4 linked regions of the Anolis sagrei genome follow. The protein of the gene in region 1 interacts with the protein of each later gene in a pairwise test. Links are inferred from orthologs where the notes say so. Each region holds a gene or a part of one and is shown in the gene's direction. Other genes may lie near its edges. The genes, in order: CEP70, SYTL4, BRMS1 and METTL17.

Region 1 (7,765 bases):
TCACTCTTTCCCGAGACTGCTATGCCCATATTCAGTCAGCTTTATGAAAAGATGCAACTGGATAGTCTATATACTTTAACAATGTCAGGGCCCTGATCTAAGCAGCCCTGCGTCCCCTAGGGGTGAGAAGGGTGGGGTATAAATATTGAATAGTAATAATAATAATAATAATAATCTGTCTGCTGACTGGTGTTGTCTAGTCTAACTGTGACAACTTTTTTCACCAACACTTAAAATGAATGGAAATGTTGTCAGTTGTTACAAATTGCGGGTTTAATAGAGGTGCTACATAGACCAGGAACAAGGCTGGTGCTTGCCCTAACCATTAGAAAGATGTGTGCTGATGTTACATTTACGAAAGGGGCTGAGATGGTGGAAGCTGATGAAGAGGGAAATGACAGCAATATGTTTGTCAATAATTCCATTTTATTCAATTTGTGTCTCACCTTAGTCCACTAATTTAAAGCAAAATAAAAATGCATGTTCATACCATAAGCACAAACAGAAAAAGGATACTGTTAAATGTGAATAAAGTGTCACTGTTTGAAACAAATGGATTAAAAACACATTTGATAAAAATCAATAGAATAGCACAACATAAAAACACTTATAGCCACTTCCTTGAAGTCTGCTGGAATAGAAAATATGCCACTTCCCAATTAAACAAGAGCTACCTTAAAAGTGAGCACCTTAGTCATGCCACAACTTTAAATGCCAAAAGCATGTAGGAAAATATTTCATATGTATTTAGTTCAATTTTTATTCAAGGTATTCTAGATATTTCTGCATAGAGCTCACCAGCATTTTGAAATAAACTGAATGAAAGTGAATCTACATAGATTCAAATTCGGCAAGTGGTGCTTTTTAAAGTAATGTTTCTGTATTTGTTATATTCTTGATTAATATGAAATACCAAACACTTATCACTGCGTTTGTTTTTGTCACATTCTTTCATGCTGAAATAAAAAAAAGTTTTACATCTACAGAAAGGAGATTACGGTGGTAGATTCCTCACTTTCAAAAGAACGGTATGATTTGAGGACACAAAAGTAGGATTTTGTTTCTAGGATACCGAAACATGAACACAAACACATAGGATCACATAAACTGGGCGAGCTTCCTACGGTCTTTTTAGCTACCTAAAAGACACTTCCTACATATTTTTGGATGAAGTAGGAATATGAGCATTTGACAGTTGACACAAGTTGAGTATCCCTTTATCCAAAAATACAAAACGCTCCAAAATTATCCACCTGGGTGGCTGAGCCAGGGACACCTTTGTTTTCTAATGAAACTGTTATTTTGTACTGTATTTAATATGTTGGAAGCCACTCTGGGGCCCTTTGTGGGAGAAAAGCAGGATATAAATTAAAATTTGTTATTGTTGTTATTATTATTAATTAGAAACACAACAAGCTGAGTCCACAGCAGACAAGATCACTCTGCTGGCTGTTGTATTGGATCACACGTCAGACACTTCCCAAGTGTCTAGGACTGTGTGATGTATCAGCAAATAATGCGTGCAGATCCCAGTAAGGTGGCCTTCTGCACCTGGCAGATGGTAATCTTGTCAGTGCCGATTGTGTTTAAGTGGAGGCCAAGGTCTTTAGGCACTGCACCCAGTATGCAGATCACCACAGGGACCACCTTTACTGGCTTGTGCCAGAGTCTTTGCAGTTCGATCTTTAAATCCTCATATCGTATCAGTGAATAATGTGTGCAGATCCCAGTAAGGTGGCCTTCTGCAGTTGGCAGATGGTAATTTTGTCAGCGCCGATTGTGTTTAAGTGCAGGCCAAGGTCTTTAGGCACTTATTATTATTAACTGAGTTCCATGATATAAAATATGGTGCATAACAGCATTTCAGAAGCTGTTTACTGGCACATAAATGAATTCCGTGTTTATTGCCTTGGGTCCCATCTCCCAAAATATTGAAGAAGAAGAAGAAGAAGAAGAAGAAGAAGAAGAAGAAGAGGAGGAGGAGGAGGAGGAGGAGGAGGAGGAGGAGGAGGAGGAGGAGGAGGAGGAGGAAGGAAGAAAGAAGAAAAAGAGTAATAATAATAATAATAATCCCAAACACTTCTTCTGGTCCCCACAAACACTTCGAAGAAGGGATACTCAACGGGTGCAAATCACACTGATGCGGTTTGACTCCACTTCCTCTGCCAGGGCTTGATGCTACTGAATTCTGGGATGTGTAGTTTGGTGAAGCACCAGCACTCTTGGCAGGGAAAGGAACTACAGAGTATCTCACTGTGCCACAGCATTGAGCCATGGCAGTTAAAGCGGTGTCAAACTGGACGAGGGGGAAGTTTTCTCTAGGAGGAGGAGGAAGGGGGGGGGAGGGAGGGTCGGGTCTACCTGGCCCTCTAAATCTCGTAGTCTCCCGGAAACGAGGCCTTTCCTCGGGACGGAGCCTGCAGTGCTTCCCAGTCTCTTCTGCCCAGAGCCAGAGCAAGGAGGCCGCCTCCTCCTTCCCTTTCCTCTCCCTGGGGTCACCCTCCTCGCCTTTCCTCCCAAAATGGCGGCGGGGCCTACCTCGAGTGGCCCCTCTGCCCAGCAACGCACCCGCCGAGGCGGACGGATGGAAGTCCTCATCCCCGGAAGTTTTCCCCAGCAGGCCCCGCCCCTTCTCTCGCCCCGCCCCCTCTGGAAACGCCCATTAAGCAGGGGCTCGAGGCTTTCAGGAATTTGGACTTCAACTCCCAGAAGCCTCCGCTGCCACCGCCAATGGCCGGGCATTCTGGGAGATGAAGTCCAAAACCAGACTGGGAAGAGGGTTGCTGTGAGTTGTCCGAGCTGTATGGCCATGTTCCAGAAGCATTCTCACCTGACGTTTGGTCCACATCTATGGCAGGCATCCTCAGAGGTTGAGAGGTTTGTTGGAAACTAGGCAAGTGGGGTTTATACATTTGTGGAATAATGTCCAGGGTGGGAGAAAGAACTCTTGTCTGTTGGAGGCTAGTGTGAGTGTTGCAATTGGCCACCTTGATTAGCCTTTCAGCTTCAAAGCCTGGCTGCTTCCTGCCTGGGGCAATCTTTTGTTGGGAGGTGATTAGCTGGCCCTGATTGATTCATGCCTGGAATCCCCCTGCTTTTCATAGAATCAAAGAATCAAAGAGTTGGAAGAGACCTCATGGGCCATCCAGTCTAACCCTTTGCCAAGAAGCAGGAATATTGCATTCAAATCACCCCCGACAGATGGCCATCCAGCCTCTGTTTAAAAGCTTCCAAAGAAGGAGCCTCCACCACACTCCGGGGCAGAGTTCCACTGCTGAACGGCTCTCACAGTCAGGAAGTTCTTCCTCATGTTCAGATGGAATCTCCTTTCTTGTAGTTTGAGTGCTGTTCTTTATTTACTGTCCTAATTTTAGAGTTTTTAAAATACCGGTGGCCAGATTTTATTCATTTTCATGGTTTCCTCCTTTCTGTTGAATAATATGCTGTGTCCAGGTTGGTTCATCAGGTGTTCTGCTATGGCTGACTTCTCAGGTTGAATTAGTCTGCAGTGCCTAGCATGATTATTGATTCGTGTCTGGGCATTCCCCAGATATATAAATCTCACTTGCCAAGTTTCCAACAGACCTCAAAACCTCCCTGCTGTTAGGAATTGTGGGAGTTGAAGTCCAAAATACCCGGAGGGCCCAAGTTTGCCCATGACTGCTTCCCCATCCATGTTTTCAGTTCCTTTCTAAAGGTTATTAGACAAGGCCTTGAGCCTTCCCTGCCAAAGAGGGCTGGGGTCTCACCAAATCACAACTCCCACGATTCCACAGCATTCAGCCGTAGCAGTTGATGTGGTGTCGAACCGCATTCATCCTACTACAGCACGTTTCTCTCTTTCGCCCTCTATTCATGCCTCTTCAAATCCTAAAGCACTGCTGGTCACAGCTGACCTGGAGCACTCAAGGGCCAGGGCTTCCCAGTTCCCAGTGTCTATGCCAGAGTTTTTAAGGTTGGCTTTGAGCCCGTCTTTAAATCTCTTTCCCTGTCCACCAACATTGTGTTTTCCATTCTTGAGTTCGGAATAGAGCAACTGCTTTGGGAGACGGTGGTCAGGCATCCGGACAACATGGCCGGTCCATCAGAGTTGATGGTGGAGGACCATCGCTTCAGTGCTGGTGGTTCTTGCTTCTTCCAGCATGCTGACATTTGTCCGCTTGTCTTCAGCACAACTCTATACACTAATGCGCCTTAAGCATGCATCTAAACTGCAATTTGGCAGCATTTTAACTTTCCAGAGAAAGTTTAAAAACTCTAAAATCAGGGGGTAGTAAATAAAGAACAATGAAAACAGGGGAATTCCAGACATGAAACAATCAGGACCAACTAACACCTCCCAATAAAGGATTCCCCCAGGCAGCAACCAGCCAGGCTTTGAAGCTGCAAGGCTATTAAATGCTAATCAGGGTGGCCAATTGCAACATTTACATTTGAGAGTAAACAAACCCCACTTGCCTAGTTTCCAACAGACCTTGCAACCTCTGAAGATGCCTATGAGACTCATGAGGTCACCATAACTTCTTGGGTCACTTGAAACATCCTCAAGGCAGTAGATCCTGGCTGATCTTGGAAGCTAAGCAGGGGCAGCCCTGGTTAGTACTGGAGGGGAGGCCTCAGGCAGCTATTTCAGAGGAAGGCATTGGGCTTTCCTTTCTTTGCCCAAGTCGGCTCTGAAATACAAAGATGCCTTCAAGCCCCTCCTTGGGGCGGAAACTGGGGCGGGCTTTTCTCTCCTTCTTGCTTTCCCCTTCCTTCTTTCTTCCCTTCCTTCCTTCCCTTCACCCCTCCTTCTTTCCTTGGAGACCCGCCTATAACGGCTTCTGAGACCGAGGCAAGGAGCCCAGGCCCCGGTATGTACCGCAAGAAGAGGAGAATGATGCGAATTAAGCAGGGAGGAAGGCACTGAAAGGGAAGGAATGCATCTGATACCCCTTTAACTGTGTTAAACGCCCTCTCCTTGGCTGCATACACTGCAGAATGAATGCATCTGAGTCCCCTTTAACTGTCATGGCTCCATGCTGGGAGATGTAGTTCTGCAAAGGCTCCAGCCCTCTCTCCTGGGGAACCACCAAACTACAGCTCCCAGGACCTCATAGCTGTGAGCCATGGCAAGTAAAGTAGTGTCGCTTGTAGAGATGCAGACTTGGTTGGTTGAATGGTTGTCACACAGCCAGGGGATTCAGTCTTCTACACAGCCATCTATTTTATTATATCAGGAGCGAACCAAGGGTACAGTTTGGTTATTTATTATTTACTATATTATTATAGTAAATAATAATTTACTATATTTATTATTTTTATATATATATATATATATATATATATATCTAATAAATAAATATATTTTACTATATTTATTTATTATTTACTATATTACTATTATTATATTGCCCCTCTCAGCCTGCAGGTGACTCGGAGCAGTTTACAGTCAGCATCAAAAACATAAAACATGATTAAATCAATTAGCTTAAATATAAAACCAATTAAAATAGTCAATATCAATAAAAAAAATATATCAATTAGAGTCTCCTTGTTAAAAGCATTGTTAATAGCATCATTCCATTTTTCCTATGTTTGTTATATTGCATCTGCAAACGCTTGCTCAAAAAGCGAAGTCTCCCGGTTTTTTTTTTAATGTTAAAAGGGAAGGGGCCGATCTGATATCCCTACAGAGGGCATTCCATAGCCAAGGGGCCACCACTGAGAAGGCCCTGTCTCTTGTCCCTGCCAAACGTACTTGTGACGAAGGCAGGGCCTCCCCAGATGATCTTAGAGTCCTAGAGGATTCATAAGGGGAGATGCGTTCGGACAGATAAGTTGGGCCAGAACTTGTATTTTAAAACAACACGAAGTTTAAAAACTTTGCGTTGTATTAAATGTCCTTTGACTAGTAGCTGGCCACTTGGAATGCCTCTGGTGTTGCTATAAGAAGGTCCTCCATTGTGCATGTGGCAGGGCTCAGACTGCATTATCTGTGGTTTGCTCTTCTCTACACTCGCATGTCATGGACTCCACTTTGTAGCCCCATTTCTTAAGATTGGCTCTGCATCTCGTGGTACCAAAACAAAGTCTGTTCAGCGCCTTCTAAGTCACCTAGTCTTCTGTGTGCCCAAGGTGGGAGTCTCTCATTTGGTATCAGCCAAGGATTGAGGTTCCAGGTTTTTGCCTGCCACTTTTGGACTCTTGCTTGCTGAGGTGTTCCTGCGAGTATTTCTGTAGATCTTAGAAAACTATTTCTTGATTTAAGGCATTGGCGTGCTGGCTGATAACTGAATGGGATGGGCCGGAGATGTCACTGCTTTCATAGAGCCATGAAAGCCACAGGATCCTCTATGGCAGGCATGGGCCAACTTGGGCCTGCCCTCCAGGTGTTTTGGACTTCAACTCACACAATTCCTAACAGCCGGTAGGCTGTTAGGAATTGTGTGAGTTGAAGTCCAAAACACCTAGAGGGCAGGCCCAAGTTGGCCCATGCCTGCTGTGGAGACTTCACTCTGGCAGCACACCATGGGAGGCTTTATTGCATGGTGTTTGCAAAGCACTTGGTGAATACTTTGCTACACCATGGGCCTTTCAAGTACAGAACATTATAGTATACACCTAAAAACATAAACAAACCTTTTTTTGGTAGTTGTGTAGAAGGAGTTGCCACAAGGATTTGCTTTTAACACAACCAGCTAGCAAAGCTTCTGAAATTCCCTCTTCTACCATGTACACGACTTAACTTGGGAGGATTTGTTGTTTTTACGTGGATTATTTCGGCCTTATTTCTACTGGGAATGTTTACAAAAAGCACATTGTTTGAATTGTTTTGCAAACAAATAATAGTTGATGTCATTTTGTTGCATTTGGTGAACATTTTGATTTCCCACGGGTCTTGTAAGTACAGAATATGACTGTATTCACTTGAGAAGAGTATGAAAATGAGAATATTTTAACATGCACCTGGAAATAATATGACAGCTAGATTAAACAAACGTTTTGTGTATTGTTGAAGGCTTTCATGGCCAGAATCTCTAGGTTGCTGTGATTTTTCTGGGCTGTATGGCCATTTTTTTTCATGTCAGGAGTGACTTGAGAAACTACAAGTTGTTTCTGGTGTGAGAGAATTGGCCATCAGCAAGGGGACGCCCAGATGTTTGATGTTCTACCATCCTTGTGGGTCAGCAATCCTATCGGCACAAGGCTTTGACTCCTGTATGGCCATGTTCCAGAAGCATTCTCTCCTGACGTTTCACCCACATCTATGGCAGGCATCCTCAGAGGTTGTGAGGTGTTTTGTGGTTGTGTTGAAGGCGTAACTTTTCACACAACCAAGTCACCACCACTTCAGAAATCTCCTTGAAACAGCCATGAGAGAGCCAATGTGGGATACTGGTGAGAGCATTGCACTAAAGCTCTAGAGACCAGGGTCTGTATCCTCAACTGTGAAACCCAGTGGGTGATTTTGGGCAAGTCACACTCTCTCACTCTCACAGGAATGCAATGGCAAATACCCTCTGAACAAATCTTACCAAAAGAACACTGTAATCGGTTCATTTTAGGATCCCCATAGGTCCAAAAAAAGTTTTGAAGATATTCAATAACAACAAACACAGTCACGAAAGGTAGAAGAGCCATCTCCAGTTTCCACTCCGGCAATCCTACTTGGAAAAACTGCATTGTCTCACACAGATTGCTCGTTATTTCACCTTTGTTTCTATTGAGAAGGGTAGGATTTCATTAGTGGCACTCATTTTATAGTCAAGAATCATTGTTGATG
Region 2 (7,722 bases), on another chromosome or scaffold:
TAAGTCGCATTAACCGACTGTCTGTGCAGGGTTCCATACTTTGCACTTTAACAACACAGCCATTCAATGCTAAGGCTTCCCGCCAAAATGGAATTGTAGAGGAGAGTCTACTGAACAAGCCAGTACCTGCCGCATACCAGTACTGCCATCTGTTGAGTTACGAAGGTGGAGGCATTACTTTTCATTCAACCCTCATATGATCACCTGTTGTTCCTCCCCATTAGCCTAAAGGAGAGCAAACTTCCCACCACGATGGAACTGTAGAGGAGAGTCTGCTGAACAAGCCAGTACCTGCTGCATACCAGTACTGCCATCTGTATAGGAGTTACAAAGGTGGAGGCATTACTTTTCATTCAACCTTCTTAGCATCTCCTGCCCTAAAACCTCAGCCGGAAACATACACCAAATTCCCAGAACTGCAAAGAATTACTGCAAAACTTATTTATTGTGTACGAGTAAGACATACTCTACTTTGCTAGAACTGCAAATAAGTAGTGCAAACCTTCTTTATTGTGCCTGTATGCGTAAGACATAACTCCAGTTTGCCAGAATTGCAAAGAAGTATTGCAAAACATTTATTGTGCCCGTAGGGGTAAGACATACTCCAATTTGCCAGAAATACAAAGTAATACCAAACTTCATACTTCAGTTTGCTGGAACTGCAAAGAAGTGGGGCAAAACTTCTAATTTATTGTGTCTGAATGCGTAAGACATACTCCAATGTGTTGGAAGTGCAAATAAGTACTGCAAAACTTCTAATTTATTGTGTTTGTATGAGTAAGGCATACTCCAATGTGTTGGAAGTGCAAATAAGTACTGCAAAACTTCTAATTTATTGTGTTTGTATGAGTAAGGCATACTCCAATGTGTTGGAAGTGCAAAGAAGTACTGCAAAACCTCTAATTTATTGTGCCTGTGTATGAGTAAGACATATTCCAATGTGGTGGAAGTGCAAAGAAGTACTGCAAAACCTCTAATTTATTGTGTCTGTATGAGTAAGACATACTCCAATGTGTTGGAAGTGCAAAGAAGTACTGCAAAACTTCTAATTTATTGTGTCTGAATGCGTAAGACATACTCCAATGTGTTGGAAGTGCAAAAAGTACTGCAAAACTTCTAATTTATTGTGTCTGTATGAGTAAGGCATACTCCAATGTGTTAGAAATGCAAAGACGTGCTGCAAAACTTCTAATTTATTGTGTCTGTATGAGTAAGACATACTCCAATGTGTTAGAAATGCAAAGACGTGCTGCAAAACTTCTAATTTATTGTGTCTGTATGAGTAAGGCATACTCCAATGTGTTGGAAGTGCAAAGAAGTACTGCAAAACTTCTAATTTATTATGTCTGTATGAGTAAGACATACTCCAATGTGTTAGAAATGCAAAGAAGTGCTGCAAAACTTCTAATTTATTGTGTCTGTATGAGTAAGGCATACTCCAATGTGTTAGAAATGCAAAGAAGTACTGCAAAACTTCTAATTTATTATGTCTGTATGAGTAAGACATACTCCAATGTGTTAGAAATGCAAAGAAGTGCTGCAAAACTTCTAATTTATTGTGTCTGTATGAGTAAGACATACTCCAATGTGTTAGAAATGCAAAGAAGTACTGCAAAACTTCTAATTTATTATGTCTGTATGAGGAAGACATACTCCAATGTGTTAGAAATGCAAAGAAGTGCTGCAAAACTTCTAATTTATTGTGTTTGTATGAGTAAGACATACTCCAATGTGTTGGAAGTGCAAAGAAGTACTGCAAAACTTCTAATTTATTGTGTCTGTATGAGTAAGACATACTCCAATGTGTTAGAAATGCAAAGAAGTACGCAAAACTTCTAATTTATTGTGTCTGTATGAGTAAGACATACTCCAATGTGTTAGAAATGCAAAGAAGTACTGCAAAACTTCTAATTTATTGTGTCTGTATGAGTAAGACATACTCCAATGTGTTAGAAATGCAAAGAAGTACGCAAAACTTCTAATTTATTGTGTCTGTATGAGTAAGACATACTCCAATGTGTTAGAAATGCAAAGAAGTGCTGCAAAACTTCTAATTTATTGTGTCTGTATGAGTAAGACATACTCCAATGTGTTAGAAATGCAAAGAAGTGCTGCAAAACTTCTAATTTATTGTGTTTGTATGAGTAAGACATACTCCAATGTGTTGGAAGTGCAAAGAAGTACTGCAAAACTTCTAATTTATTGTGTCTGTATGAGTAAGACATACTCCAATGTGTTAGAAATGCAAAGAAGTACGCAAAACTTCTAATTTATTGTGTCTGTATGAGTAAGACATACTCCAATGTGTTAGAAATGCAAAGAAGTACTGCAAAACTTCTAATTTATTGTGTCTGTATGAGTAAGACATACTCCAATGTGTTAGAAATGCAAAGAAGTACGCAAAACTTCTAATTTATTGTGTCTGTATGAGTAAGACATACTCCAATGTGTTAGAAATGCAAAGAAGTGCTGCAAAACTTCTAATTTATTGTGTCTGTATGAGTAAGACATACTCCAATGTGTTAGAAATGCAAAGAAGTGCTGCAAAACTTCTAATTTATTATGTCTGTATGAGTAAGACATACTCCAATGTGTTAGAAATGCAAAGAAGTGCTGCAAAACTTCTAATTTATTGTGTCTGTATGAGTAAGACATACTCCAATGTGTTAGAAATGCAAAGAAGTACGCAAAACTTCTAATTTATTATGTCTGTATGAGTAAGACATACTCCAATGTGTTAGAAATGCAAAGAAGTACGCAAAACTTCTAATTTATTATGTCTGTATGAGTAAGACATACTCCAATGTGTTAGAAATGCAAAGAAGTTCTGCAAAACTTCTAATTTATTGTGTTTGTATGAGTAAGACATACTCCAATGTGTTGGAAGTGCAAAGAAGTACTGCAAAACTTCTAATTTATTGTGTCTGTATGAGTAAGACATACTCCAATGTGTTAGAAATGCAAAGAAGTACTGCAAAACTTCTAATTTATTATGTCTGTATGAGTAAGACATACTCCAATGTGTTAGAAATTTATTTATTTATTTATTTATTTGATGCACTTATTAACCGCCATTCTCAGCCCTTACGGGCGACTCATGGCGGTGTACAGTACACATAAAAAGACAGTTACAAAGGCCAGTATCAACAACATATAACTATACGACAAATACAAACTACATAAAAATCCGCTTCGTCTCTTAGTAGAATCATAGCCAGTCTCATCTTCCTTATACCATTCCAGTTCTCATTACCGTAATGTTGTTGCTTAGCACTTAATTAAATGCCCTCTCGAACAGCCAGGTCTTAAGGCTTTTTCGAAAGGACATGAGGGAGGGCGCCTGTCTGATGTGTGCCGGGAGAGTGTTCCACAGCCGGGGGGCCACCACCGAGAAGGCCCTCTCCCTCGTCCCCGCCAGCCGTGCCTGTGACGCAGGCGGGATCGAGAGAAGGGCCTCCCCAGACGATCTCAAGGTCCTCGTGGGCTCGTAGGCCAAGATGCGGTCCGAAAGGTATTTTGGGCCGGAACCGTTTAGGGCTTTGTAGGCCAAGACCAGCACCTTGAATTGGGTCCGGTAGCAAATCGGCAGCCAGAAATGCAAAGAAGTACTGCAAAACTTCTAATGTATTGTGTCTGAATGCGTAAGACATACTCCAATGTGTTAGAAATGCAAAGAAGTACTGCAAAACTTCTAATTTATTGTGTCTGTATGAGTAAGACATACTCCAATGTGTTAGAAATGCAAAGAAGTGCTGCAAAACTTCTAATTTATTATGTCTGTATGAGTAAGACATACTCCAATGTGTTAGAAATGCAAAGAAGTGCTGCAAAACTTCTTATTGTGTCTGTATGAGTAAGACATACTCCAATGTGTTAGAAATGCAAAGAAGTGCTGCAAAACTTCTTATTGTGTCTGTATGAGTAAGACATACTCCAATGTGTTAGAAATGCAAAGTGCTGCAAAACTTCTAATTTATTATGTCTGTATGAGTAAGACATACTCCAATGTGTTAGAAATGCAAAGAAGTGCTGCAAAACTTCTTATTGTGTCTGTATGAGTAAGACATACTCCAATGTGTTAGAAATGCAAAGTGCTGCAAAACTTCTAATTTATTATGTCTGTATGAGTAAGACATACTCCAATGTGTTAGAAATGCAAAGAAGTGCTGCAAAACTTCTTATTGTGTCTGTATGAGTAAGACATACTCCAATGTGTTAGAAATGCAAAGTGCTGCAAAACTTCTAATTTATTATGTCTGTATGAGTAAGACATACTCCAATATGTTGGAAGTGCAAAGAAGTGCTGCACAACTCCTTTATTGTGCTAGTATGAGTAAGGCATACTCCAATTTGCTGGAAGTGCAAGGAAGTACTGCAAAACTTCTTATTTATTGTGCCTGTATGGCAAGGGATGTGTGAGGACCTCCCCTTTGATGAGGCTGCAGTCTCTTACCTGGCCAGCACAGGTAGGTGCTGCAATGCTTTCCAATATAGCATCCACATTGTAGAATTGATGCATTTTGCCACTACTTGCCTAGGTCATGGGATTTTTAGTTTCACAAGGTATTGGGCCTCACGAAGCTGCACTTCAAAGCTGTTAGTAAGGATGGGAGGTCCTGCTGCCGCCCTGGCCACGCCCCCTCCCAGGTGAGGCCACGCCCCCTGCCATCCCAGCCGGGGCGCTGTCCCTTTAAGAGCCTGGCATGAAAAGGGGTGCGGCCCCTTTAAGGGAGCGGCTCCTCCCGGGCCAACGAGGCTCTTTCTCCCTCAGCCTGGAGCAGAGAGACAGGTACTTTTTCTTTCCCTTCCTTTGCATCTGCAAGCTCTTGCCTCCTCTTCCTCTTCCAAGCCTCTTCCCCGCAGCCTCTGAGCATACACAGAGTGCTTTCCTCACTTTATGTCCCTCTGAAGCCACCAAGCTCACCCAGGGTGCATCTACACAGCAGAATTGATCCAGGGTGATACTGCTTTTAACTGCCTGTCTTTGGATTCGTTTTCCATCCCAGTATCTCCCAGTTTCTTTCACTTTTCATCCCAGTATCCTCCCGGCTTTGGGTCAGTTGGCTCTTGTATCAAAGGGTTGCAAACTAATTGATTATTGGGTTGCTGTGAGTTTTCCAAGCTGTATGGGGAATTCCAGGCATGAGACAATCAGGGCCAGCTAACACCTCCCAACGAAGGATTCCCCCAGGCAGGAAGCAGCCAGGTTTGGAAGCTGCAAGGCCGTTCAATGCTAACCAAGGCGGCCAATTGCAGCATTCATACCTAAAACTCTAAAATCATAACAGAAAATAAAGAATAACACTAAAAAGGGGGAATTCCAGACAAGAAACATTTAAGGCCAGCTAACACCTCCCAACAAAGGATTCCCCCAGGCAGGAAGCAGACAGGTTTTGAAGCTGCAAGGCCATTCAATGCTAATCAAGGTGGCCAATTGCAACATTCATACCTAAAACTCTAAAATCATAACAGTAAATAAAGAACGACACTCAAAAACAGGAGAATTCCAGACAAGAAACAATTCAGGCCAGCTAACACCTCCCAACAAAGGATTCCCCCAGGCAGGAAGCAGCCAGGTTTTGAAGCTGCAAGGCCATTCAATGCTAACCAAGGTGGCCAATTGTAACATTAATACCTAAAACTCTAAAATCATAACAGTAAATAAATAACAACACTCAAAAACGGGGGAATTCCAGACAAGAAACAATTAGGGCCAGCTCACGCCTCCCAACGAAGGATTCCCCCAGGCAGGAAGCAGACAGGTTTTGAAGCTGCAAGGCCATTCAATGCTAATCAAGGTGGCCAATTGTAACATTAATACCTAAAACTCTAAAATCATATCAGTAAATAAAGAACAACACTCAAAAACGGGGGAATTCCAGACAAGAAACAATTAGGGCCAGCTAATCATCTGCCAACAAAGGATTCCCCCAGGCAGGAAGCACCCAGTCTTTGAAGCTGCAAAGCCATTCAATGCTAACCAAGGTGGCCAATTGCAACATTCACCTTTGCCTCAAACAGACAAGTGTTCTTTCTCTTATCCTGGATATTATTTCACAGGTATATAAACCTCATTTGCTTAGTTTCGAACACACCTCACAACCTCTGAGGATGCCTGCCATAGATGTGGGTGAAACATCAGGAGAGAATGCTTCTGGAACATGGCCATACAGCTCGGAAAACTCACAGCAGCCCCGTGATTCCAGACATGGAAGCCTTCAACAACTAATGTATTATTATTATTATTATTATTATTATTATTATTATTATTATTATTTATAATCCGCTTTATCTCCCCAAAGGGGACTCAAAGCGGCTATTTCTGAAACTGCCTTGTATTATGTTATATTGTATTATATTTCAGACTCTTTCATTTCACCAGGATTTGTTTCTAAATTACTTTGGAATGTGTAAACCAAGTTGTATCCCTTGTCTTTTAATAGGATACATTTTAATATGTATCTTTTCCAGAAACATGCCCATTATTTATAGAAGTTTTGCAATGTTTACATGTTTTAATTATTCCACAGAGAGAGGCAGGTAACAAACAAAATTATTATTGGGTTGCTGTGAGTTTGGCATGTTCCAGAAGCATTCTCTCCTGACGTTTCACCCACATCTATGGCAGGCATCCTCAGAGGTTGTGAGGTCTGTTGGAAACTAGGCGATCTTTCGGTCAACAAGTTCAGCAGCTCAGCGGTTTAACCCGCTGGACCACCAAAGGCTCCTGCCTATCTATTGAAAAGAGATGTTGACAAGCTGGAATGTGTCCAGAGGAGGGTGGCTAAAATGATCCAGGGTCTGGAGAACAAGTCCTATGAGGAGCGGCTTAAAGAGCATGGCCTGTTTAGCCTGAAGAAGAGAAGGCTGAGAGGAGACACGATGAGGACCATGTATAAATATGTGAGAGGAAATCATAGGGAGGAGGGAGCAAGCTTGTTTTCTGCTGTCCTGGAGACTAGGACATGGAACAATGGCTTCAAATAAATAAATAATAATAATAATTTTATTTATTCATTTATTTATTTAAAATATTTTTATTCCACCCTTCTCACCCCAAAGGGGACTCAGGGCGGAGCACAGCATATATACGGCAAACATTCAATGCCGGAACACATTCTTATATACATACATAAACATTAAAAACATTTATCAAAATATTAAAATACACAGTTTAAAACTGTCCTAGTCATCCACGTTAAATCTAATTGGCCTGGTAATCTTTCCTATTGCTGCTTTATTTCCCTGTCCTGAAATAATAATAATAATAATAATAATAATAATAATAAGTGACATACTGAACTTTTGTACCAGTAAAATAATAATAATAATAATAATAATAATAATAATAATAATAATCTTTCTTTATATCCTGCCACCATCTCCCCAAAGGGGACTCGGGATGGCTAACACCAGGCCAAGCCCAAAGATACAATACAGCAAAATAAAGTGCAAAGCATAACAAAAGTCACATCACAATAAAGTATATAGAGTGGCAAAATAAAGTGAACAAAGCAAAATAGTATAGTAGAAAATTGAATACAAATGGCAGGCCAAATGGAGAAGATAAAATGATAAAACCCTGGATGAGATAGGAGTAGAAAATGTGTATTTGAGAGGAGCCGAAAAAGGTCGAACAGTATGATTAGGTTGTTGTAGGTTTTTCCGGGCTATATAGCCATGTTCTAGAGGCATTTCTCCTGATGTTTCGCCTGCATCTAT
Region 3 (6,899 bases), on another chromosome or scaffold:
CTTTTGCCTTCCACTTTCCCCAGCATAATTGTCTTCTCTAGGCTTTCCTGTCTCCTCATGATGTGGCCAAAGTACTTCAACTTTGTCTCTAGTATCTTTCCCTCCAGTGAGCAGTTGGGCTTTATTTCCTGGAGGATGGACTGGTTGGATCTTCTCGCAGTCCAAGGCACTCTCAGCACTTTCCTCCAACACCACAGCTCAAAAGCATCGATCTTCCTTCGCTCAGCCTTCCCTAAGGTCCAGCTCTCACATCCGTAGGTGACGACAGGGAAGACCATGGCTTTGACTAGGCAATGGATCTTGGTTGCCAGTCTGATGTCTCTACTCTTCACTATTTTATCGAGACTGGACATTGCTCTCCTCCCAAGAAGTAAGCGTCTTCTGATTTCCTGGCCACAGTCTGCATCTGCAGTAATCTTTGCACCTAGAAATACAAAGTCTGTCACGGCCTCCACGGTTTCTCCCTCTATTTTCCAGTTGTCAATAATTCTTGTTGCCATAATCTTGGTTTTTTTGACGTTTAGCTGCAACCCGGCTTTTGCGCTTTCTTCTTTCACCTTGATTAGAAGGCTCCTCAGCTCCTCCTCGCTTTCGGCCATCAGAGTGGTGTCATCTGCATATCTGAGGTTGTTAATGTTTCTTCCAGCAATTTTCACCCCAGCTTTGCATTCATCCAGCCCCGCACATCCTCGCATGATGTGTTCTGCATACAAGTTAAAAAGGTTGGGTGAGAGGATGCAGCCTTGCCGGACGCCTTTCCCAATCTTGAACCAGTCTGTTGTTCCGTGGTCAGTTCTGACTGTTGCTACTTGGTCCTTGTACAGATTCCTCAGGAGAGAGGGAAGGGGGCTTGGGATGCCCATCCCACCAAGAACTTGCCACAATTTATTATGATCCACACAGTCAAAGGCTTTAGAATAGTCAATGAAGCAGAAGTAGATGTTTTTCTGAAACTCCCTGCCTTGATGATAATAACAACTGATAATAACAATAAGTTACCAAGTTTGGTCCAGAGACACCAAGCCCTATAGATACAAACCAACCAACCAACATATATACAGACTTTTATAGAGAGAGATCATGCAGGGAAACAGTACAAAATTATTCTTCAGGAAAGCAGAAGGGTATGACTACAACACTTTCTTTTTTTTCTGGAAGACTTTTTAAAAAGAAAATTTTTAAGACTGAGACAGAAGGGGGTGATTATTTATTTTAACATCTTATGGGCAAAGCCTCCAAAAAAAATATTCCTAGAGCATACCTGGCACCGTTCTAGCCTATAGGCTCCCTCGAGTGGCTGCATCTGAACATTGCAGCGTAAATCTCCCATTTTCTGGGGTGTTGTGTGGTTTTCGGGCTGTATGGTCATGTTCTAGCAGCATTTTCTCCTGGTGTTTCGCCTACATCTGAGGCGGGCACCTTCAGGTGATCCGATCTATATAAATAAAAATGTAATGTACGTTTGTGAGATTAACATAACTCCAAAACCACTGGACGAATTGACACCAAATTTGGACACAAGACACCTAACAACCCAATGTATGTCCTTCACATGTACATTTAATGAAGCTTTTATGCCCTATGTTTCATATATAGCAGAAGGTAACAGGTTTATTACTGAGAAACCACCTCCCGTTACACTTATGTACTCTCTTGAACTTCTATGGGACTCTATATTGACAAGCTGGAATGTGTCCAGAGGAGGGCGACTAAAATGATCAAGGCTCTGGAGAACAAGCCCTATGAGGAGCAGCTTAAGGAGCTGGGCATGTTTAGCCTGAAGAAGAGAAGGCTGAGAGGGGATATGATAGCCATGTATAAATATGTGAGAGGAAGTCACAGGGAGGAGGGAGCAAGCTTGTTTTCTGCTTCCTTGGAGACTAGGACACGGAACAATGGCTTCAAACTACATCTGAACATGAGGAAGAATTTCCTGACTGTAAGAGCCGTTCAGCAGTGGAACTCTCTGCCCCGGAGTGTGGTGGAGGCTCCTTCTTTGGAAGCTTTTAAACAGAGGCTGGATGGCCATCTGTCAGGGGTGATTTGAATGCAATATTCCTGCATCTTGGCAGAATGGGGTTGGACTGGATGGCCCAGGAGGTCTCTTCCAACTCTTTGATTCTATGATTCTATGATTCTGGTGGGAGGGATAAGTGGGTATGTTTTCTGTATGATGATTTCTATATTTCTATATTTCTCCCTGTGTACCTTACCTTTTCCTGACCCTTTTGCCCAATTCCCCTTTATCGAAAAAATGTATAAAAATATAAGAAGCAACCCTGTGACCCTGGAAAGGAGGAAATCCTCAGTTGAAAAAGAACCTTATCAAAAGACATTTCTTACATGGAAAATAACAATGAATCGTGACCCCTGGGCCACGTAGTTGCCCCCCCCCCCCCCAAGGGAGGCGGTCGCTTGACATTAATGATCCTATCTCAATAGGACAAAGGAAGCCTTTGGAAAGCCACCCTTTGTCCTGATCTGTTACTCATTTAAATCTCCTTCCATTGAAATTTCAGCCAAAATTCCCTCATTGTTTCTATATCTCAGCACCCAGAAAATCCAAATCTGGCAGGCTTGCCAGACATTGACATTTATTACAGCCAATCAAAGACAATAGGAAAGGCTGGCTCGCAGGCCCCCAGGACTCGCTGGCTGCTTGGACATTTCCTATCTTCAATAATAATAATAATAATAATAATAATAATAATAATATTACAATATTGCTTTCTCTCTTTTCAGAGAGAAAAAGCAAGATATAAATAAATATAATATAATAAATATAATATTTGTTTTAATAAGAATAATATAATGCGCATACGATACTTATGTATGTTAATATTATCTCAGGGCATTATTTCATATTATGTTATTATTATTTGAAATAACATAATATAATATATTATTATAATAAATAACAATACAAAAATATATTATCATAGAATCATATATTATATTTATTATATTATTATTTATTATACTACATTATATTACATTATTTCAAATAATAATAACATAATCTGATATTATAATATTATATCAAAATATTATAATAATATAATATTATATTATTATAATAAATAATATAAAATATATTATCATAGAATCATATATTTATTATATTATTATTTATTATACTACACTATAATATATTATATATTATGCTACATTATACTATATTAAAATTACTTCAAATAATAATAAAATAATCTGATATTATAATATTATATCATAATACTATAATAACATAATATAATATATTATTATAATAAATAACAATACAAAAATATATTATCATAGAATCATATATTATATTTATTATATTATTATTTATTATACTACATTATATTATGTTATTTCAAATAATAACATAATCCGAAATAATGCACTGAGATATTAACACACATAACTTTCGTATGTGCATTATATTATTAATAAGTCATTATTAATAATATATTATTAAATTATTATTATTAAAACAAATATTTATTTATATTTATATTTATAATAAATAAAAATATAATAATTGTATTATTATACTATATTATTATTCATAGAATCATAGATCAAAGAGTTGGATATATTGTTATATTGTATTATTCTAATAATAATATAATAAATATATTATTCTAATAATAATATAATAAATATATTATTTTATTTTATATTTTATATTTTATATTTTTTGTATTTTATTTTATATTTTATATTTTTGTATTATATTTTATATTTTATTTTATTTTATTTTATTTTATTTTATTTTATTTTATTTTTTGTCCCAGAAAAAAACTGGCTGGGCCTGTTTTGTTTCCTTTCTGCTTCGTTGCTATGGAAACTGTCCGCCTTCCGCTTCCGCCTGCCCACAATTCTACGCGAAGGACCCCAGAGTTGTGAGCGAAGTGCAGTGGATGGCGTTATCGTTTCGCAAGGCAAAGTCCGCTGTGATTGGCTAGCGCCGGTGGGCGGAGCCAAGCGGAGCCGACTTCCGATTGCTGCGGGAGCCCTGAGCGGCGTTTGCGTCCTCCTCGGCTCCTCCCCCAGGTAATAAGGGGTCCCGGCTATTTTCCCCATCACCCCCCTTTTTATCGGTGAAGTTGGTATCGTCCATTCCAGCCTTATCCATTTCCCAATGAGAAAGCCAAGGGCCAGTCCATTACAACTCGGACAAAGGGGGGTTTATATATGTGTATGGCTATAATACTACTACACTCTTCCCCCTTTGAAATGTTTAATGGTTTGTTCCTCCAGGACAATCCTAGGAGAAGTTGGACGAGTCCATTGAAATCAGGGGGAGGATACTGATTATTTTGAATGGTGGGCAATGCAGGACCTTCCAGATCTTCAGGACTTCTGTTCTTATCACTTTTTGCTAAGGCTCACTCTTTGTTATGGTTGATGGGAGATGTAGTTCAGTGGCATCTGGGAGGCCAGTTTAAACCTCTCCAAGTTAAGGGAGAATACATATTTCAGTTCCTATTCAGGTATATAAATGCAGTATTTCTTTGGGAGCTCAAATAGGCTAGTTGAGAAACTACAAGTCGCTTCTGGTGTGAGAGAATTGGCCATCTGCAAGGACGTTGCCCAGGGGACACCCAGAAGATTTGATCATCCTTGTGGGAGGCTTCTCTCATGTCCCCGCATGAGGAGCTGGAGCTGATAGAGGGAGCTCATCCGCCTCTCCCTGGATTCGATCCTGCGACCTGTCAGTCTTCAATCCTGCCGGCACAGGGGTTTAACCCAATAAACAATGATGATAATGGTTTACAATATGTAAAATAATCCTGCAAGTCATTAAAAGTTGGAGATGAATAATTTAAATATCTTTAAATATGTTTAAAATAATTTAAATATATATATATAGAGAGAGAGAGAATATCTATATCAGTTTGACTTCTCATATTATTTCAACGTATGCAGAATAAATCCTGCAGGTCATTAAAAAAGCTGGAAATGAGTATTATTATTATTAATAATAACAGCAAATCATGCGATGTGCGGGGCTTGATGAATGCAAAGCTGGGGTGAAAATTGCTGGAGGAAACATTAACAACCTCAGATATGCAGATGACACCACTCTGATGGCCGAAAGCGAGGAGGAGCTGAGGAGCCTTCTAATCAAGGTGAAAGAAGAAAGCGCAAAAGCTGGGTTGCAGCTAAACATCAAAAAAACCAAGATTATGGCAACAAGAGTGATTGACAACTGGGAAATAGAGGGAGAAATCGTGGAGGCCATGACAGACTTTGTATTTCTAGGCGCAAAGATGACTGCAGATGCAGACTGTGGCCAGGAAATCAGGAGACGCTTCCTTCTTGGGAGGAGAGCAATGTCCAGTCTCGACAAAATAGTCAAGAGTAGAGACATCAGACTGGCAACCAAGATCCATTGCCTAGTCAAAGCCATGGTCTTCCCTGTAGTCACCTACGGATGTGAGAGCTGGACCTTAGGGAAGGCTGAGCGAAGGAAGATCGATGCTTTTGAGCTGTGGTGTTGGAGGAAAGTGCTGAGAGTGCCTTGGACTGCGAGAAGATCCAACCAGTCCATCCTCCAGGAAATAAAGCCCGGCTGCTCATTGGAAGGAAGGAGACTAGAGACAAAGTTGAAGTCCTTTGGCCACATCATGAGAAGACAGCAAAGCCTAGAGAAGACAATGATACTGGGGAAAGTGGAAGGCAAAAGGAAGAGGGGCCGACCAAGGGCAAGATGGGTGGATGGCATCCTTGAAGCGACTGGACTGACCTTGAAGGAGCTGGGGGTGGTGACGGCCGACAGGGAGCTCTGGCGTGGACTGGTCCATGAGGTCATGAAGAGTCGGAGACGACTGAACGAATGAACAACAACAACAGCAAATCAATATTAATATTATATTTATATTATTAAAATAATATGCAATGCCACTCTTTAATAACTTTTAAGAATAATAATGATTTACAAATAAAATGTATTATGTTTTTAAAATATTTAAAACATAATAACAATAATAATAATAATAATAATAATAATAACTAGCCTGAAAAAGTTACACATCAAGCTACTCTAAGACTTCTGGATTCAGACAGACAGAGTTTTGGAGCACAATACTCCTGACCTCACGATTATGGGAAAAAACAGTATAGATCGATGTTGCAATCCCAGGCGACAGCAGGATAATAATAATAATAATAATAATAATAATAATAATAATAATAATAATAATGCTTTATTTATACCCCGCCACCATCTCCCCCAACGGGGACTCGGAGCGGCTTACATGGGGCCAAGCCCGAACAACAAATTACAATACAAAAATACAAATTGCATTAAAATAAACAACATAACAATAAAATATAAAACATCAAAGCATATAGATAGTATACACAGAAATAGAAACCAAACATAATGACTAAGAGAGGATTGATGAGAAGCAACTGGAAAAGCTGACACGATACAAGGATTTAAAGATCGAGCTGCAAAGACTCTGGCACAAGCCAGACAAGGTGGTCCCAGTGGTGATCGGCACACTGGGTGCAGTGCCTAAAGACCTTGGCCTGCACTTAAAAACAATTGGCGCTGACAAAATTGCCACCTGCCAGCTGCAAAAGGCCACCCTACTGGGATCTGCATGCATTATTTGCCGATACATCACACAGTCCTAGACACTTGGGAAATGTCCGACGTGTGATCCAATACAACAGTCAGCAGTGTGGTCTTGTTTGCTGTGTACTAATCTTGTTGTGTATCAAATAATAATAATAATAATAATATTGACAAAATCACTGTCAACTGCAAAAGGCGACCTTACTTGGATCTGTGCGCATCATTCGAAAATATATCATACAGTCCTAGACGCTTGGGAAGTGTTCGACTTGTGATTTTGTGATACGAAATCCAGCATAGAGATCTCATTTGCTGTGACATACTG
Region 4 (6,925 bases), on another chromosome or scaffold:
GTGAAAGCTGAAGTCCAAAACACCTGGAGGACCAAAGTTTGCCCATGCCTGGTCTACTGTATAAAAAGTATTTTGGGTTAGGGCTGCTGGTAAATCGTCAGCAATTATAAGATCTATCAACCAAAAAGTTGCAAGTTTGAAGCCCCGGGTTGGCATGAGCTGCCAACTGTCATCCTAGCTCATTGTTTACCTAAGCAATTCAAAAACAGCTTTAGCTGTGATTAGTGAAATTAGGTACTGCTAAATGCAGGGAAGGTGTTTTACAACGTGATAAAGAAAGATCAGAAAATGCTGGGTGACCAAAAGGAAGGAGGAAGTCCTGACAGCTCTTCATCATAGAGGATGGAGCAACAGTTCCCCCTGGACTCAAGCCCAACCTTCCATGGCACCAAAAACAGCTGAAACAAACCACCTCCTTTTGTTCTGTCTGTCTGTGTATTGTCTATACAAAGCAGCATTTAATGTGATCCACCCTGAGTCCCCTTTGGGGTGAGAAGGGCGGAATATAAATAAAGTGTTGTTGTTGTTGTTGTTGTTGTTGTTGTTGTTGTTGGGAAGTTTGCCCATGCCTACCTATACCGATCTGCTGTAACCCACTTTCCCTTTTCTGAATCCAGCCATGATGCTCCCTCTGAAAAGAGCTGAGACGCTGATGCTCATCCTGGTTCTCGCCTGCGTGATCGCCAGTGGGGGCTCCTCCCAAAACCCTCGGCACGAGAAATTCTGGAGGCAGCACCACGACTTCCCTCGCACAAACATGGCCGGGCAGGACTACTGTGGGACCATGATGCTCCGCCGCGGGATGGCGAGGCCTTGCAAAGACACCAACAGTTTTGTTCATGTGCCAAAGAACCAGCTAAAGGATATCTGTGGCTGGGCTGGAACCCACTACCGCCGGGCATTGAGGATTAGCAGGGAGCCTCTCCATGTCACCACCTGCAAGCTTCAGGGGACGTTGCGGGGCCAATGCCGCTACTGGTCCCACACAGGCCAAAGACACATTCACATTGGCTGCGATGCATCAGGATGGCCGATCCGGTTTGAAGAGACCAATTTTATGTAGCTTCTTGTATGTCTCCTGTTTCCAAAAACAGCATAAAATAATGGGCAAACTCCTTGCAAACAGATATTTCTGTGTTGTTGTAAGTTTTTCAGGCTGTATGGCCATGTTCCAGAAGCATTCTCTCCTGACGTTTCACCTGCATCTATGGCCGACATCCTCAGAGGTTGTGAGGTCTGTTGGAAACTAGGAAAATGGGGTTTATATATCTCTGGAATGTCCATGATTAGGGTTAGAGTTAGGGCAACAGAACCCCACTGACTTTGAATCTTCCTAACCCAAAATGCTTTTTATACAGCAGACCAGGCATGGGCAAACTTGGGCCCTCCAGGTGTTTTGGACTTCAACTTCCACAATTCCTAACAATTCCTCCCATAATCCCTAGGAATTGTGGAAGTTAGAGTTCAAAACACCTGGAGGACCCAAGGTGTTTACAGTGGACTAAATTCATTGAACTCTCAAGCAACCAACCAGAACTTTCAAGCAACTGGCAAAAAATTGAATAAATAATATTTTAGATTTTTTTAAAAAAAAATGTTTCTATAATACAGTAAAATAGTGTCACATTAAGTTTGTCTTTATTTACTTTTAATTACTGTGTTTCAATATTAATATCAAGTCAATAGAGTTTATGGTATAGTGTGTAGCATAGTATTAGTTAGGCCAGTAACTTACAACCAAACAGAAACTGTTCATCCAGCATCTACCAATCCCCACGGGTGACGGTTAACTTAGTGTATATTGCACATAGTTGTAGAGTATCACTGTATGCAAATGTCATGGCTGTTTTGTACCATTTAGGATTTTTATAAAGTTTCAATACGCAGTAGCATAGTATTAGTTAGGCCTACTTTTAACAGTAACTCTCAAGCAACCAGAAATGATGTTTATCCGGCATTTATCAATCCCCATGGGTGATGGTTAACTTAGTGTATATTGCACATAGTTGTAGAGTATCACTGTATGCAAATGTCATGGCTGTTTTGTACAATTTAGGATTTTTATAAAGTTTCAATACGCAGTAGCATAGTATTAGTTAGGCCTATTTTTAACAGTAACTCTCAAGCAACCAGAAATGATGTTTATCCGGTGTTTATCAATCCCAATGGGTGATGGTTAACTGAGAGTCTATTTCACATAGTTGTAGAGTATCATTGTATGCAAACGTCATGGCTGTTTTATACCATTTAGGATACTTATAAAGTTTTCAACTCGTAGTAGCATAGTATTAGTTAGGCCTATTTTAACAGTAACTCTCAAGCAACCAAGAACTATGTTTATCCAGCGTCTACCAATCCCAGTTGGTGACGGTAGCCCGAAAAACATAGCCCAAAAAAACCTACAACAACTCAATGTCATGGTTGTTTTGTACAATTTAGGATGTTTATAAAGTTTCAATACGCAGTAGCATAGTATTAGTTAGGCCTATTTTTAACAGTAACTCTCAAGCAACCAGAAATGATGTTTATCAATCCCAATGGGTGATGGTTAACTGAGAGTTTATTGCACATAGTTGTAGCAGAGTATCACTTTATGAAAATTTAATGGCTGTTTTGTATAATTTAGGATACTTATAAGGTCTTCAACACAAATAAATATAATTGATCCCAGTGTCGTTTGGCTGTGTTACTAATGTAGTCTGCAGTGTAAATTATTAGGGGGTGCATCTACACTGTAGAATGAATGCAGTATTTATTTTATTGATTTATCGTGTCATGAGCAACCATTGTATTACAATTCTAACAGAGCAAAACAAACACAGAGATTAAAAAGAAAAGAAAAAAAAGGGGGGGGGGAAACCCCACACAGATTTTGCAAATTTGGTATTTGGTTAAATGTCCTTTGACCAGTATCTGGCCACTTGGAGTGCCTCTGGGGTTGCCGCAAGAAGGTCCTCCCTTGTGCATGTGGCAGGGCTCAGGGTGCATAGCAGCAGGTGGTCAGTGGTTTGTTCTTCTCCACACTCGCATGCCGAGGATTCCACCCTGTAGCCCCATTTCTTAAGATTGGCTCTGCATCTCGTGGTGCCCGAGCGCAGCCTGTTCAGCGCCTTCCAAGTCGCCCAGTCTTCTGTGTGCCCAGGGGGGAGTCTCTCATCTGGTATCACCCACGGATTGAGGTGCTGGGTTTGGGCCTGCCACTTTTGGACTCTCGCTTGCTGGGGTGTTCCAGCGAGTGTCTCTGTAGATCTAAGAAAACTATTTCTTGATTTAAGTCGTTGACGTGCTGGCTGATACCCAAACAGGGGATGAGCTGGAGATGTCTCTGCCTTGGTCCTTTCACTATTGGCTGCCACTTCCCGGCGGATGTCAGGTGGTGCAATACCGGCTAAGCAGTGTAATTTCTCCAGTGGTGTGGGGCGCAGACACCCTGCAGTTCAACACCACTTTGACTGCTATGTAATTCTGGGAGTTATAGTTTTGCATGGTCTTTAGTCTTCTGTGCCAAAGGAGGCTAACCATTTGACACCTTACAGGATTAAGAAAAAAACCTGTCACTTGGCTTTCTTTCCTACGTTTGCTTAAGTTCTCATTTGCCTTACTTCTGAGATTGAAAAAAATTGATTTGCCAAAGTAACCTATTGGGAATCGAACTCACTTCTCCACCATCACAGTCAAACGTACTAACCACTACACCACGCCCACTCTCCTCCTAAAGTTGTCCTTTCCAGCAAGTGAGATCCGATGACGTCAGAGGGGTTACGAAAACCAATCAGCGGTTCTCTCTCCCTCCCCGCTCTTGCTCGCCGACTAGAAAGAAGCTGAACAGGAACGATGAAAGGGACATATGCGCATGCGTATTATTCCCCTGTCGCTTGCTTCCTTCCTTCCTTCCCAAGATGGTGGCTAGAGAGGGCTCGAGAGCGCTTTTGCGCCTGCGCAAGGGGGAAAACGAGACCTTCCCAACATGGCGGCGCCCAGGCGTTTGTGGCAGGCATGGGGTTCCTTCAACAGCAGCGTTCCTGGCACTGCTTTGGCTTTCAGGGTGAATATTTTATTTTCTCAATTTTGTTTTCTTATTCTCCACCCTGTGATGTGTGTCCGTTATGAAAGTTGTATGTAGAAGCTTATTTATTTGTTTATCGTGTCATCCGCAACCAGAACATTGTATTACATTTATTTACTTATTTACTTATTTACTTTGCTTATATACCGCTGTATCTCAAGCCCGAAGGCGACTCACAGCGGTTCACAAACAGTAGAAACAGCAGTGGTTCCATACAACATATAACAATTGACTTAACACATTATCCATAAATTACCAATAAGCAATTACAATGCACAATTATTACAAAAAACAACCGTACCCAATCTTCTCATCATCCAAGCGTAGTCCAGGTTCCTCGTCCATTGTTCCATTCCTATGTTCCATTACCAGATTGCACTAAATTACTCAAACGCCTGCACAAACATCCAGGTCTTCACCTTTTTGTGGAATACCATTAGAGATGGTGCAAGTCTAATGTCTGTAGGAAGGGCGTTCCACAGCCAAGGAGCCACCACTGAGAAGGCTCTATCTCTCGTCCCCGCCAACCGTGCTTGAGAAGCCGGCGGGATCGAGAGCAGGGCCTCCCTGGAAGATCTCAAAGTCCTGGTGGGTTCATAGGCCGAGATGCAGTCAGAAAGGTATCTTGGGCCGGAAACGTTTAGGGCAGGGACCCTCAAACTTTTTAAACAGAGGGCCAGGTCACAGTCCCTCAAACTGTTGGAGGGCTGGATTATAATTTGAAAAAAAAAACATGAATATATTCCTATGCACACTGCACGTATCTAATCTGTAGTGCAAAAAAAAAAACACCTAAAACAATACAATAATTAAAATGAAGAACAATTTTAACACATATAAAGTTATTAGTGTTCCAATAGGAAGTGTGGGCCTGCTTTTGGCAGATTAGATAGGATTGTTGTTGTTGTTGTGCGTTTTCACGTCATTTCAGACTTGGATTGACCCTGAGCAAGGGTCGGGTAAATGACCTTGGAGGGCCGCATCCGGCCCTCGGGCCTTAGTTTGAAGACCCCTGGTTTAGGGCATTTCTAAAAGAACAGAACAAACAAACAGATTAAAAAAAAACACAGATTTTGCAAACTTGGTACTTGATTAAATGTCCTTTGACCAGTATCTTGCCACTTGGAGTGCCTCTGGTGTTGCCGCAAGAAGGTCCTCCATTGTGCATGTGGCAAGACTCAGGTTGCATCGCAGCAGGTGGTCAGTGGTTTGCTCTTCTCCACACTCGTATGTCGAGGATTCCACCCTGTAGCCCCATTTCTTACGATTGGCTCTGCATCTCGTGGTGCCAGAGCGCAGTCTGTTCAGCGCCTTCCAAGTTGCCCAGTCCTCTGTGTGCCCAGGGGGGAGTCTCTCATTTGGTATCAGCCATTGGTTGGGGTTCTGGGTTTGAGCCTGCCACTTTTGGACTCTCGCTTGCTGAGGTGTTCCAGCGAGTGTCTGTAGATCTAAGAAAACTATGTCTTGATTTAAGTCGTTGACGTGCTGGCTGATACCCAAACAAGGGGTGAGCTGGAGATGTCTCTGCCTTGGTCCTTTCACTGCAACTTCCCGGCGGATGTCAGGTGGTGCAATACCGGCTAAGCAGTGTAATTTCCCCAGTGGTGTAGGGCGCAGACACCCTGTGATAATGCGGCATGTCTCATTAAGAGCCACATCCACTGTTTTAGTGTGGTGAGATGTTTTCCACACTGGGCATGCATACTCAGCAGCAGAGTAGCATAGCGCAAGGGCAGATGTCTTCACTGTGTCTGGTTGTGATCCCCAGGTTGTGCCAGTCAGCTTTCGTATGATATTGTTTCTAGCACCCACTTTTTGTTAGATGTTCAGGCAGTGCTTCTTGTAGGTCAGAAAACGGTCCAGAGTGACTCCCAGGTATTTGGGTGCGCTGCAATGCTCCAGTGGGATTCCTTCCCAGGTAATCCTCAGAGCTCGGGATGCTTGTCTGTTCTTAAGGTGAAAGGCGCATGTCTGTGTTTTAGATGGATTAGGGTTCAGTTGGTTTTCCCTGTAATAGGCAGTTAGAGCACCTAGAGCTTCGGAGAGTTTCTGTTCAACCATCTCAAAGCTCCCTGCTTGAGCAGTAATGGCACGATCTTCAGCATAGATGAAACTCTCTGTCCCTTCTGGCAGAAGCTGCTTTGATTCGGATTAACTGAATCCGAAGTAATTGAAACAGCATAACTGGCCCTCGTTGTAAGTCGTCAAGGAGATTTTGGGCAGCAACTCCTGTCAGCAAATTCTGGACTCAAGGATAATACTTTCACGGCCAAGGAAGTCTTGGGATTTGTAGTTTGGTGAGGAGATAAAGTTCTCTGGGTGATGATTCTGAATACAACCCTTTAAGGTGTCACCATGGCAACTAAAGTGGGATCATAGAGTGATAACTGTACAGCAGGCATGGGCAAACATGGGCCCTCCAGGTGTTTTGGACTTCAACTCCCACAATTCCTAACAGCCGGAAGGGCCCTCCAGGTGTTTTGGACTTCAACTCTCACAATTCCTAACAGCCGGTAGGCTGTTAGGAATTGTGGGAGTTGAAGTCCAAAACACCTGGAGGGCCCAAGTTGGCCTAAGCCTGCTGTAAAGTGTGAACATGACCTACATGTTGTCACTTTGCCATTTGGTCCTTTCATAATCGCTCTCAGGCTGGATTGGATTGACACTGCCATGAGTCGCCCAAGGGCTGAGAAAAGCGGTATATAAATGAAGTTAATAATAATAATAATGTGCTCCAATTGCCTAAACTTGTGCGCCACCTTAAGAAGCCAGACTTGGCCACGGTTGTCCATTCTCTTGTTACATCTCGATTAGATTACTGCAATGTTCTCTATGTGGGGTTGCCTTTGAAGACTGTTT

The links.
Region 2: the proteins of CEP70 (region 1) and SYTL4 interact in binary tests that used the Homo sapiens proteins (3 or more experiments, as listed by UniProt). The two-hybrid records come from large-scale screens. The link is inferred for Anolis sagrei from reciprocal best matches to the Homo sapiens genes CEP70 and SYTL4.
Region 3: the proteins of CEP70 (region 1) and BRMS1 interact in binary tests that used the Homo sapiens proteins (3 or more experiments, as listed by UniProt). The two-hybrid records come from large-scale screens. The link is inferred for Anolis sagrei from reciprocal best matches to the Homo sapiens genes CEP70 and BRMS1.
Region 4: the proteins of CEP70 (region 1) and METTL17 interact in binary tests that used the Homo sapiens proteins (3 or more experiments, as listed by UniProt). The link is inferred for Anolis sagrei from reciprocal best matches to the Homo sapiens genes CEP70 and METTL17.

What each region holds. Positions count from the first base shown.
Region 1 is NC_090021.1:218,659,143-218,666,907, reverse strand, and holds the start of CEP70 (centrosomal protein of 70 kDa), read left to right. Parts: upstream 1-4,750; 5' UTR 4,751-4,853; intron 4,854-7,765.
Region 2 is NC_090030.1:10,025,903-10,033,624, reverse strand, and holds the start of SYTL4 (synaptotagmin-like protein 4), read left to right. Parts: upstream 1-4,708; 5' UTR 4,709-4,789; intron 4,790-7,722. UniProt on the Homo sapiens protein: Modulates exocytosis of dense-core granules and secretion of hormones in the pancreas and the pituitary. Interacts with vesicles containing negatively charged phospholipids in a Ca(2+)-independent manner.
Region 3 is NC_090032.1:9,016,098-9,022,996, forward strand, and holds the start of BRMS1 (breast cancer metastasis-suppressor 1), read left to right. Parts: upstream 1-3,884; 5' UTR 3,885-4,041; intron 4,042-6,899. UniProt on the Homo sapiens protein: Transcriptional repressor. Down-regulates transcription activation by NF-kappa-B by promoting the deacetylation of RELA at 'Lys-310'. Promotes HDAC1 binding to promoter regions.
Region 4 is NC_090026.1:14,066,756-14,073,680, forward strand, and holds the start of METTL17 (ribosome assembly protein METTL17, mitochondrial), read left to right. Parts: upstream 1-3,919; 5' UTR 3,920-3,967; coding exon 3,968-4,045; intron 4,046-6,925. Other genes in the region: angiogenin-like, read left to right, coding at 620-1,063. UniProt on the Homo sapiens protein: Mitochondrial ribosome (mitoribosome) assembly factor. Binds at the interface of the head and body domains of the mitochondrial small ribosomal subunit (mt-SSU), occluding the mRNA channel and preventing compaction of the head domain towards the body.